2 linked regions of the Rattus norvegicus genome follow. The protein of the gene in region 2 purifies or fractionates together with the protein of the main gene of each other region. This does not show direct contact. Links are inferred from orthologs where the notes say so. Each region holds a gene or a part of one and is shown on either strand. Other genes may lie near its edges.

Evidence for each region. Proteins that work in one complex are often made in the same cells at the same time.
Region 1: the proteins of Rnf123 (region 2) and Ubac1 purify together in Homo sapiens (affinity purification with mass spectrometry; 7 studies listed by BioGRID and IntAct, counting the BioPlex papers as one, with this or other methods). This does not show direct contact. The link is inferred for Rattus norvegicus from reciprocal best matches to the Homo sapiens genes RNF123 and UBAC1.

The regions. Positions count from the first base shown.
Region 1 is NC_086021.1:29,242,731-29,248,519, reverse strand, and holds the start of Ubac1 (ubiquitin-associated domain-containing protein 1), read left to right. Parts: upstream 1-2,358; 5' UTR 2,359-2,526; coding exon 2,527-2,664; intron 2,665-5,789.
Region 2 is NC_086026.1:117,642,544-117,648,464, reverse strand, and holds the start of Rnf123 (E3 ubiquitin-protein ligase RNF123), read left to right. Parts: upstream 1-2,190; 5' UTR 2,191-2,658; exon of another isoform or gene 2,659-3,640; 5' UTR 3,641-3,676; coding exon 3,677-3,758; intron 3,759-4,026; coding exon 4,027-4,111; intron 4,112-5,921. Other genes in the region: Mst1 (hepatocyte growth factor-like protein), read right to left, coding at 1-105, 184-355, 960-1,011. UniProt on the Homo sapiens protein: Catalytic subunit of the KPC complex that acts as E3 ubiquitin-protein ligase. Promotes the ubiquitination and proteasome-mediated degradation of CDKN1B which is the cyclin-dependent kinase inhibitor at the G0-G1 transition of the cell cycle.

The sequences.
Region 1 (5,789 bases), on a different chromosome or scaffold from region 2:
GGAGGAGGAGGAGGAGGAGGAGGAGGAGGAGGGGGAGGGGGAGGGGGAGAGGAGGAGGGGGAGAGGAGGAGGGGGAGGGGGAGGGGGAGGGGGGAGGGGGGAGGAGGAGAACAAGAAGGGGAACAAGAAGAGGAAGAGGAAAAGGAGGAGGAGGAGGAGGAGGAGGAGAAGGAGGAGGAGGAGGAGGAGGAGGAGGAGGAGGAGGAGAAGGAGAAGGAGAAGGAGAAGGAGAAGGAGAAGGAGAAGAGGAAGAAGAAGAAGAAGTTAGTAGCAGCTAAGTTGTTTTAATTAAGAGTCTTCAGAGTCTCATCTGGCCCATCATAGGAACACAGGATCTGCCAGCCAAGGAGCCTCACCTGTTGCACCCCCAACATAAATAGCAGGCACTGTGTAAACACGCACCTTTCTATGGGCAGGCAGGGAGGGGACAGCACGTTCTGTGAAACAGAGACTGAGACTGGACAAGGTAAAGAATGGTACCAGATGGGCAGAAGCTGAGTCTCCGTGCCTTAGCCAAGCCGGTGAGTAGAGGGAGAATGGATGAGTTCTCCCTTGAATAATACACGAGCGCCACGACTGCTGCTGGGCTTCTGTAGGAAGGCTGATCTGGGAGACTGGGCAGCCCATCTTTCATCAGAGTGCTCTGTGTGGTATCTCTGTGTCCACATAGGAGCCTGTAGTTTTTGGAGGAGGGGACCTGTTGTCTCCAGCTGGGAAGGGAATACATAATACATTGTGAAGATCACTATCTCAACAATTCCTTCTGCTCACTTCCCCAGTCCTGGGGATCCTGAAGAGCCAGATCTAGCACATGGAAGAGACTTGTCCCATGTTCCTTTGGGCATTTCTTTTGGCATATCCAGTGGTAAGGTGCTGAATTTGGGCTATGGGGAAATACTTTGCAAACATTCTTACTATGCAAACCAGTAGGCCTGGGGCAGCGGCCATGACTGGCGGCCAGGAGAAAGAGAACATAAGACCGTTGAAGAATGGGCTGAGTTACCTAGGATTTGGACAAAGAGCAAGGGGTTTGTTGGGGAGAGGCCTGGGGGACTTGAAGACAGTCCTCAAAACCTTTATGGCTTAGTTCTATACCATCTGCCAAGACTCAGATCTGTGGCAAGATCTCCTAGAACTTGTCAAAAATAACTATGAACTTGGCCTCCTGTTCCTCCTACTTCCACAACACCATTCCTGGATCACTGATAATTGCTTTTTTTTTTTAAATTAAAAAACATTTATTCGGTGAGTATTTTGCTTACATATATGTGTTAACATTACCAGAGTGCCTGGTTCTGAGCCACCATGTGAGGTCTGAGAACCAAACCAGGATTCGAACTTTGTGTGAGTTTTATGCAGGCTTGTATTCCAGGGTGGTCCTGAACTCATTATGTAGTTAAGGATGACCTGCCTGATTCTCTGGTTGTGTCTAGGTGTAGGATTATAAACCTGTGCCAGCTTTATGCTGCACTGAGATCAAACCCAGGGCTATGTGCATGATAGACAAGCACAACTGTGACAAATTTCTAGTGCCCTGACCCAGATGGTTTTTTTTTTTTTTTTCTTTTTTTCGGAGCTAGGGACTGAACCCAGGGCCTTCCGCTTGCTAGGCAAGCGCTCTACCACTGAGCTAAATCCCCATCCCCTAAACAATATCCTTGGAATGGAGCTGACATCTATCTCAAAATACTCCTCAGCAATTTGGTATGAATTCCGTCTTCTGGTACACAGGGTTATTACTTTATTTTTCTTCCGGATCTTCCAATTATTGTATTTTAAGTCAGATGTCTCTAGAATGCCGCAGGCCAATCAAGCCTACTCACTTCAGAGTTACCTAAATTCATGGTTTTGCCTTCGCTGATACTCAGGTTCTGCTGATTTTGTTACATCTCATATAGACTGGACATATGCATTAGAAGTCATATCTTTTTTTTTTTTTCGGAGCTGAGGACCGAACCCAGGGCCTAGCGCTCTACCACTGAGCAAAATCCCTAACCCCGACCCAGATGTTTTATACTTTTCCCTGACAACTCTGAGATCTATTCGAACAGACCAGCAAATCAGGTAATAAGGCTGGGCAGTGCTGAAGGAACGAGGAACTACAACTCCCGGTAGACATCTGACCCGCCTCACACATTAGTTTAGGTAAGCGGGCGGTGAGTCTGCCTGTGAACCACAACTCCCGGCGTGCATCGGTATACTTCACCTATTTCCGGCGCAGTGGGGGCAACAGCGGAACACCTACCAAAGAAACCACATTTCCCGGCATACCCACGGGCGCTCATTACGCATTTCCGGCGCGGCTGCGACAGCGCGCTCCCGGCAGCTACGGCGACGCGGGCAGTGGCAGCGAGGGTACAGCTCCTGCCCCTTCAGTGACGGGCGGCCAAGCTGACAGGAGCCGGGGCGGGGCGGCGGCGGCCAGCGAAGGAGCGCGCGGCGGCCCGGCCCCGCCCCTGGTCCTCCCGCCAGCCCCAGTGACCTTCACGGGTTCGGGCGGCGGGTGCAGGCCCGGGCGGCGGCGCGATGTTCGTGCAGGAGGAGAAGATCTTTGCGGGCAAGGTGCTTCGGCTGCACATCTGCGCAGCCGACGGCTCCGAGTGGCTGGAGGAGGCGACCGAGGACACATCGGTGGAGAAGCTCAAGGAGAGTTGCCTCAAACATGTAAGGCCGAGCTCCTTACGACCCAGTTCCACCTCTGCCTCTGTTCTGGAAACCAGAAACGTAGACTTCTGTCCCAGACTCCGCCCCAGCCCCCCAGACTCCCATCTGCCCGGACACTCCTCTCTCTACCTAGAGGATGCAGCCTGCTGTTCCCAGCCTTCGCTTCTCTGGGCAGGGGCAGCGCCTCCCGCTCCTTTTCTCTAACACCTCGAATCACAAACCTAGCGGCTCAGAGAAGAGCATCTGACCCAACTGTTGGGCTAGCTTTATTTAATTTCTGCAACGTGCTACGGAGGTGAAGGCGAGAGTTGAACGGAGACCGGGAGAGGCAAAAGCAAGGGCTTATGGTTTTCTTGTCTTGGGCTTGCCCGCTGTTGGGATAAGGTTTTAGTTTTCTCCAGAAGCTGGAAGTAACTAGATCCCATTATAAGAGGGACAGCTTCTTGCCTGAAGAGCCAGCTGCTAGGAGCCTGGATTTGGCACTTAGCTGTAGTCACTTAAAATAGTGCCACTGTGGGACAAGTCCCTAGGCTTCTACCTTCTGCTAGGGCAACAGTTGATTGAGTGGGAAGGTCCAGGACAACCGTCTCCTTGCCAGCAAGTGGCATTTAAGTTTACTTACATTCAGTGAGCTTTGTACTATAGTTAGCCTTTTAGTTTTAGATAGTAAAGTCTTGGGATTAGTTCTTGAAGCCTTCCTGGCTCTAACTGCTCTCAGTTAAAGGTGAGACAGATACCTGTTAAACACTGGTGGTCTAGGAAGCATTATACCAGACATGATTAGTGCCAGAATTTATGTTGAAAGTCCCCTGCTTTTTAAAGGGGACTCTTGGGAAAGTTAGAACTCTACAGTGGTAGGTCGCATTAAAGTTCAGCATTGTGTTTCCCTCTAAAGATGATCTTTGAGTTACTGTAGCAGCTGCTTGCAAAGGCTAGTTTAACATCCGTGTGCCTCCTTCCTGTAGTCAGTGTGTAATGATGTCAGGTAGGCTCCAAGAGATCTACAGTGCATTAGATGTTGAGTAACCATGGGTCTTGGTGTCTGTGGTTCACCTCAGTGAGGCCCTAGGGTGAACAAATGTATTTAGATTGCCCAAGGAGTCCTCAACCTTTAAGCTTGTGCCCAGAGGCTCAGCACAAGCTTAAAGGTTGGGGACTCCTTGGGCATCCAGACTGTTCCTAGCATCCTCGCTGGTCTAGTACTATGCTGTGTCATCCCCTAGGTCTAGTTCCTCAGGGCTGAGCTTGGAATACCTTGAAGCCCGTGTACGGATTGAGGGAATGAAATGTGTTGTTAGCCTCAAACCACGTCAGCATGGGATGTCACCTTCACTGCTGTGGTGTCTTGTCTAACTCACTCATGGTGTAGACTTACATAATCAGCATGACACTATTTTATGAAGGGAGTGAGGAGACGATTCGATTCATAGATGCTTATTAATAGATTTTAGGAGCAATGGGGTTAGGCAGAAGGTTTTGATATGATGCTAATTTGTGATACTTAATATTCTAGTTGACATGTGGAGTTGTATCATTTTGACCATTTTTGTCATTATTGTTTAAATTGAGACTTTATTCTACTCCACATTCTCCAGGTATGAGGGCTGAAGCAGCAGGAGAATTTCACAGCACATGAGCTGTTGTAAAATTACAGGACTAGAGAGCAGAGGCATCAGAATTGACCCACCTCCAGGTCCCAGCAGCTCTAGGAGTTACAATGCATTTATTAGAAAAGAGGACTTTCTTGTTGTACCTGACTGTGTACCTGGAAACCTGTCCTGCATAAGATGTTGCTGTCTTGACTTGACTTCCTTTCTCTTTATTCTCCTGTGCACACAGGTTACTGGGGTTGTTATTACTATTATTTTTTCCTTCTTTCTTTCCTCTCTTCCTGAGGGGTTTGATAGAGTTTTTTAAAATTTTTCTCCCACAGGACTCCTTGATACAGTACAGCTTGTTATTAAAATTCTTAAGGAAATAGACTTGTTTTTGCCTTCCCTTTTTTTTGTTTTATCCAAAGTGACTTCACAGTGATATTCCCCAGCTTCCACTGCCTATGTCTGGGAAGGGGGCACAGTAAGCCCTCCTTTCTGACGAGGGTTAGTAGTGGGATGGTATGATGGAGCTGCAGTGTGGAGGAACTTTTCTGTGGTATCAAGCATCTGGAGGAAGCACAGGACTTCTCTTCCAAAGCCTGAACTGTCCCAGGTCCTGTGGAGATTCATGCCCTGTCGTCTTTCCATGCTATACACTAGCAGATATGAGCAGAAGCTAACGACAGTCACCTACAGGATATGTGCGTGCAAGCATAGGGTTGTGGTGGTGTGTGGTGTGACAACCTATGACATGTCTTGTTCCTCATGTGCTGCTGGCATGCCTCAGAGTACAGATACTATTTTTTAATTGCATTTCAGACTGTATTCTGAACTTGACAAATATGCTAGGATTAGCCAGGGATTTTAGAATTTCAAAGCATCCCACTTAATATTTTTGGAAGCAGAATGGGTGTTCCACTGTTTAGGGGTGTTTATTTTGGCTCATGGTTTGAATATGGTTCTTTATGTGGTAGTGGGCCGTGGGGTGTAGTGGCAGGCGGCTGTGTCGTTGGGAGTCTGAGGCCGCTTGCTCACGTCTTTGGATCAGGAAGCAGAAAGGGCAGTGCTGGCGCTTGGTTGGCCGACTCCTCTGGAACTCCAGCCCTTGGGATGGGGCTACAACATTCAGGCTTGGTTTTCTTCCCCTCATTTAATTCTCTATGGAAAGCTCTCATAGGCATCCAGCAGTGTGCCTTATCAATGCCGTAGGTGTTTCTTAATTCAAACAAATTTAAGATCCATTTTCAGGTTCAAGGAAAGTCATGTTCTCTGCTTAGTCACAATGGTGAAGAAGTCAGTTGTTGTGGGGTGGATTTATCTCATAAGCCCGTAGTAACCTTTGTCTGTGTATGATGGTCCACTTTTTAAAACTGGTCCCAGTCTGAGACTGAGATTACAGGGTCTAGAGGGAAATGCATGCTTCAGTTTTTCCTTCTCTTCTGGTTAGCAGCCATATATACGGAGGCCCTTTGTTGAATGTATGCATCATGGTACCCGAGATGCCTTCCAGAACACCAGGGAAGGCCTGAA
Region 2 (5,921 bases):
TGGAAGAGATCGCACAGGCTAGAATGGTGTAGCTGTGCACGCAGAGAGTGCTGAGTCCACGGTAGTAGCTGGCAACCATGGCTGCTCATATTGTAGTGGAAGGCTCTGGGGGGCAGACGCGAGGTTAACTGGCAACGCAGATTCTCAAACCCTCAGCCATGTCTGGGCTACTTAGCCACTCACCGGCAGTCCAGAAGGGGCCCACAGCGTCTAGCACACTCCTCGGCATCTGCCACATCCTCCTGCCATGGCCCTGGCACCACTGGATGTAGCAGGTTCCTTAACTCTGTGCCCCGAAGCAGCTGGAAGTCATTCAGCGGTGAGCGCTGCCCTGTGAGATGGGCATGGAAAATGACTGTGCGCATTAGTAATGTATTTTAACACACCCTATCTTTTGTTCATTTAGGGAATCCAATACAAAATCCTTGGGGTGGGCCCTGTGTGTATTTTCAAGGGCCAGCTGATTCCTCCATACCCAGTAGGGAGATTATTACTAGTCTGCTAGTAGGCCTGGCACTGGGCTTTGGTCTAATACGTCCACTCCATGAGAACTGGGTGGTGGTGTTGGCCCTATGACACTTCCCCCTTCTCACCCCTCGGATGAGAATACTTGGACTTTGAGCTAAAATGCTTTTCCAGGAAAGGTCCCAAGCTTCAGCCTTCTGACTCCCAGTCTGGCCTCGTACTGGAATAAAGACATACGTTACAGTGACCCATTAGGGTTAGGAGCCATGCCTTCTGGGTTTGACAGTTTCTCTGGTTGGAAGACTACCTCTGTGCTACAGAATGTTCTACTGTAGTCCTGATCAGACAGTGTATATTTGAATTCCCAAGCTGCCAACAGGCCAAGGTCACTGATCCCTGCCCAAAAGAAAAGTAAACTCTCTGAGAAGAGTTGTCTGGGCCCGGGGCGAACTCCCTCCTGAAGGCAAATTAGGATCAGGGTGGGTGACACTCACCAAGAGCCCTTGAACACTGTGCCAGAAGCAGCAGTAGTGGGAGCCACCCCATTCTCCTAAGCTGGACGCTGCACTGTGACCCACCACAGCCCCATCCCGGAAATTGTGAAATCTGTCCCTTCAGGATTGGGTGACTCTGGCTCCACACCCCCTCTCTGAACCTGGCCTGGTGACAATTGCTAGATGGAGCCTAGGCCTGAGGCCTTTGAGTCAAGTGCCTGGTCCTTCTCACTGCAGCTAGATCCCTGAGAGGCCTCTCTGTGTAGTAGGCAGGACTTAGGAGGGTTCTGTGGAAACATTAAGCATCCCTGAGGCAGAGCCCGCCTATTCTATACAATCACAAGTCTGGCTGAGATCACTATATTGGCCTTCCTACCACCGTCTATCCCTTAGGTAGCATGTTGTTGCTACATGTGCTCCAAAAATTGCATGAAGTCCCTGGTGCCTGCTTTACTGAAGAGGTGTGGTGCACATCATAGTAGTCAGACTCAATGTAATTAAGTTCACCAAGTTAAAAACTGAAATTTTCAGTTTCAAGTTTACAAAGTTAAAAACTGAAATTTTCAGTTATGCTGGTACATTTCAAGAGTTTAGTGACCACAGTGGCTGCCATCACTACTGACACTTCTATGCCAAAGGATTCTGCTAGTAGGAGTTGCCAAGATTTTCCAGCCCCCGGATTATACTTTTCTGGGCCTCAGTTTCTTCCTGTGAACTGAGGAACATAATTTCCCCAGCCCGAATGCTGCCTCTCCCTGTTCAGACTGCCTTATCAGTTGAGTCCCGGCTGTAGGCCAGTCAGCCCACACCCCTAGCAGCACATCCTAGGAACATTCATCTCCTCTCAGAAGTGTCATCCCAGGTAAGCTGAGGGATGTAATTACTGTTGGTGATTTGCTGACAGAAGTGGCCTTTCAGGTTGCATGTGGGTCAGGCCTCCAAGCAAGGTAGGAGTTGAGACAGGTGGACCGAGGGACCGATTAGAACATAGTCTCCTGTTACCGTTGGGCTAGGAAAGGCCGTTGGACCATCAGGTAAAACAGGTAAACACCTGGGTAGGAGTCGGGGGAGGGTTTTTTGCCAGCAAGGGCCTGTTGCGGTCTGTGCATATGCGCGTGCGCGGCTGGAGCGGCGCGCGAGCGGGCACGCGGTTTGGCCCTGGACGGGTGCCGTAGCTGAAAAGCTGGGCGGATGTTGTGAGCCGGTCGCGGAGGCTGAGGCCGGGGGTGAGTGAGAGGCGGCCTGGCTACGAGCCGGGCGGGTCCGGTGACTCCCTTCGAGGCCCCTGGCCGATCCAGTGCGACAGTGCCGCGGCCTGCGGTATAGGGCTCCCAGCGGGAGCTGGCCTGACAGGTCCTATGGAGCTTGGGGCCAAGTAGGGGCGACCTGGGGGAGCATGCGCTGCCCTTGACATCCTTGGCCACCCAGACTTAGTCGGTTCGGTTTCGAGCCTGGATCTCTTAGAAGGGCTGGGCAGTAATGGCGTGGCTGGGAGCCCTGGGGCAGACGCAGGTTCCGCCTCTAAATCCTCTACACTTGACACCCAGAGTGTGTGTCTGGAAGGTTGACTTCCAGTTCTTACTAACTGCGTCCAATAAGTCCAGCAATTGTTGCAATATAAGAGGGACTGGTTGTGGATGTCCATCGAGGGCCCCCGGAGGGCGGCACAGCGGCAGAATCACCTTCCCGAGCGAGCCTGGTATGATGCAGGCAGGCAAGGGTTTGTGGCGGGAGCTGAGGGCCCGTTTGGGGTGTGATAAGAGTAGGCTGCAGAAAAAGAAGTGCTTGCTCAGGCAGTGAATAAAGGCCAAGCTCTGGACAGGCGCTAATAGAACTTTCTGTGGCGGTGGCGGTGATGGCACACCTTGCCTTGCAGTTCAGTGCCGTCCTGTGTGAGCTCTGAATTCCCGAAGCTGAAAGTTTAGTTTTTAACTTTGTAAAGTTAACCACTCTTGGCTCCTGACTATGGTGTTGTGCAGCACACCTCTAGAGTGAGACAGACATCAGGGACTTAGTGCAGTTTCTGTAGCATCTGCAGCAATAGCATGCTACCTAAGGGATAGACAGCAGTATGAATACCTATAGAGTGATCTTGGCTAGGACAGTGATTGCATAGCATAGAAGGATATGTGGGGTGTGTGTGTGTGTGTGTGTGTGTGTGTGTGTGTGTGTGTGTACAAGAAAGCTAATGAGACTGAAAATAAAAGGGAGGAAGCTTGGGCTTAGTGTGACATCTCTTACTTTCGGGGAATAAGAGGGATTTGAGGCTACAGGGAATGTGGTATAAGGTCTTGCCTTTTGACTATGACCTGGACTCCATGACTAAGGTGTAAATATAGGAGTTTTTACTCAAGGCCACCTCACTTTGAATATGTTAATCTGATTTCCCCAGAGCCAAGGCCTTTATGGTTCAGCAAAAACACTTTGCACTGGGTCTCTGCTAGGTCCTGTATGGGGCACTGAGACAGTGTGCAACATAGTGTCCCTGACAGCAGCCTAGATCCCATCCAACATCCCCGTGTGGAAAGCTGGGAGCCCTTGCTTACCCCTGCCCTAGGCCAGTATTGTGTGAATGTGCATGGCTCAGTCTCACCTGCTCCCAAGCCTTCCTACCATTTGCAGGACTGAGGTCTGTGTGGGCCTTTGACTAGCCTGGAGTAGACACTCTGCATCTGGCTCAGCCTCCAGGACCAGTGACTGCCGATGAGCGGTGAAAGATGACGTCCAAGGGGGCTGCCATGTCTTTCTCCCGAAAGAGCTATAGGTTGACCTCAGATGCTGAGAAGTCCAGGGTCACAGGTAAGGGCTGGCGTGGCAGAGAGAATGCTTTGTGTTGGGAGAAGGAAGGGACAGATGCAGCAAGGGCCCGGTTCAGTGAAACCTGGGACTTTCCATGCCCCTTGTTCCTGTGACCATTTCTTTGCCGACACCCATAGAAAAGTGCACTTGGAATGGTTGCTCTTCAGACCCTTGTGGCTGGCCAAAGACAAGCTGTCTGTGGGATCAGTAGGGACCAAGAGCTATTCTGACCACTTGCCTCTTTCCTCTCTTCTGATTGGTGACCCAGGCATTGTGCAAGAGAAGCTACTGAGCGACTACCTGTACCGGATCTTTTCCTCTCCTGACCATGGGACCCCTGCAGCCACCAGCAGGTATAGTTAGTTGGGTGTGTGGCTCCATTCCTCTCTGTTGGGCCTGACCAGATGCTGGGAACTGCAGTTATGGAGAAGGGCATGGTGCTCTCTTCTCACTGTGCTCCCAGCTGTGAGATCTGTGCCTGCAGCCGCCCTCTGGACTCTTGTTTTTCTCTCCAGACAGCAGTAGCTCCTTTCCAGGGATCCAGAGAGGGATCTATGTGCCCCTGGTCCCTGTCAGTATCCGCCCTTACCAGCACTTTTCTGTACCTCTACTCTGCCCTGGCCTCTTGTATCTCGATGGTCTGCCTGACCTTACGTCATAGAAACCTCAGTTGAATACATGTTTAACCTGCAAAGAAGTTACAACAAGTAACAGAAACTTGCAAACAAAGCAAAGCAAACTTCCTCTTCTGTTGTTAGTTAAATGTGACTTAGCCTACTGTGATTTCTTTCTGGTTTCTTTGTCTCACAATGTACATAATTTAGATTCTATAGTATCTAATTCAGACTTTAAGAAAAAAGACCTCAGAACACTTTTTGGGGAAAAAAAAAGACCTGAAGGGCGGTGGCTCATAACTGGAACCCCAACACTTGGGGCTGGAAAAAGCGAGAGGACTGAAGTTCAGTACTGATCTAAACTGGGAGAGAAGACACTGCCTCAACAAGAAAGGAAAAAAAAACTTTCTTACTATTGTATAATAATTGAAACAAAGTAAACTACACACTCTTTTAAATGTTCAAAGTTGCTTTTGAGACTGTGTAAATCAGGTTGGCCTGGAACTCTTCAATTTAGACCAAGGAACCCTGGAGCTTGGAGGTGGTGTGAGAGTCACCTGCCTCTGGCACTGAAATATTCAGATTGTAGTGCCACCAGGTCTAGCACTTTCTTTCCTTTCTCTTTCTCTTTCTCTCTCCTTCCTTCTTTCCTTCCTTTTTTCCTTTCCTTTCCTTTCCCTTCCCATTCCCTCCCTCCCTTCCTTCCTTCCTCCCTTCCTTCCTTCCTTCCTTCCTTCCTTCCTTCCTTCCTTCCTTCCTTCCTTCCTTCCTTCCTTCCTTCCTTTGTTTCTTTGTTTCCTGCTGTGTTTGAGATCTGTGCTCACCACACAGCTCACTTTTGGAAGTCAAAGGACAAGTTGTAGGAACTGAACTCAGGTCATGAAACTTGCATGACTGGTGCCTTTGCCCACTGAGCCATCTTATTACTTCCACCGCCAGTAGTTTTAAGTCTTTTATTTAGTCTTTGACAATTTTATATATACATATAATTTGGGGGGGGGGGTGTTTCAAGACAAGGTTTCTTTGTGTGGCCTTGGCTGAACTAGCTCTATAGACCAGGCTGGACTCAAACATCTGCCTGCTTCCCTAGTGCTGGGACTGAAGGTGTGCGGGAATACAATGTACAGTGATTGGGTCCATCCCCAAGGTTCCCCTTGCGCTCTCCTTGGAAGGCCCAGCTTTTTAGATAGCACATCTCTGTGTGTGTCTCTGTGTGTATAAAACCTAGGAAACAATGACAAGTGTCAGTCTAATGAACATATTCCTCACTTTTAAACATTTTTGGAAATTAGAATTTTTTTTTTTGAGGTAGGGTCTCACTATATGTCACTGGCTGTCTTGGAACTTACTATGTAGACCAGGTTGGCCCTGAATTCACAAAAATCTGCCTGCCTCTGCCCAGCTTTAGAATTCTATTTTTTTAAGATGTATTTATTTATGTATTTATTTATTTAATATAGGTACACTGTAACTGTCTTCAGACATGCCAGAAGAGGGCATCAGATCCCATTACAGATGATTGGGAGCCACCATGTGGTTGCTGGGAATT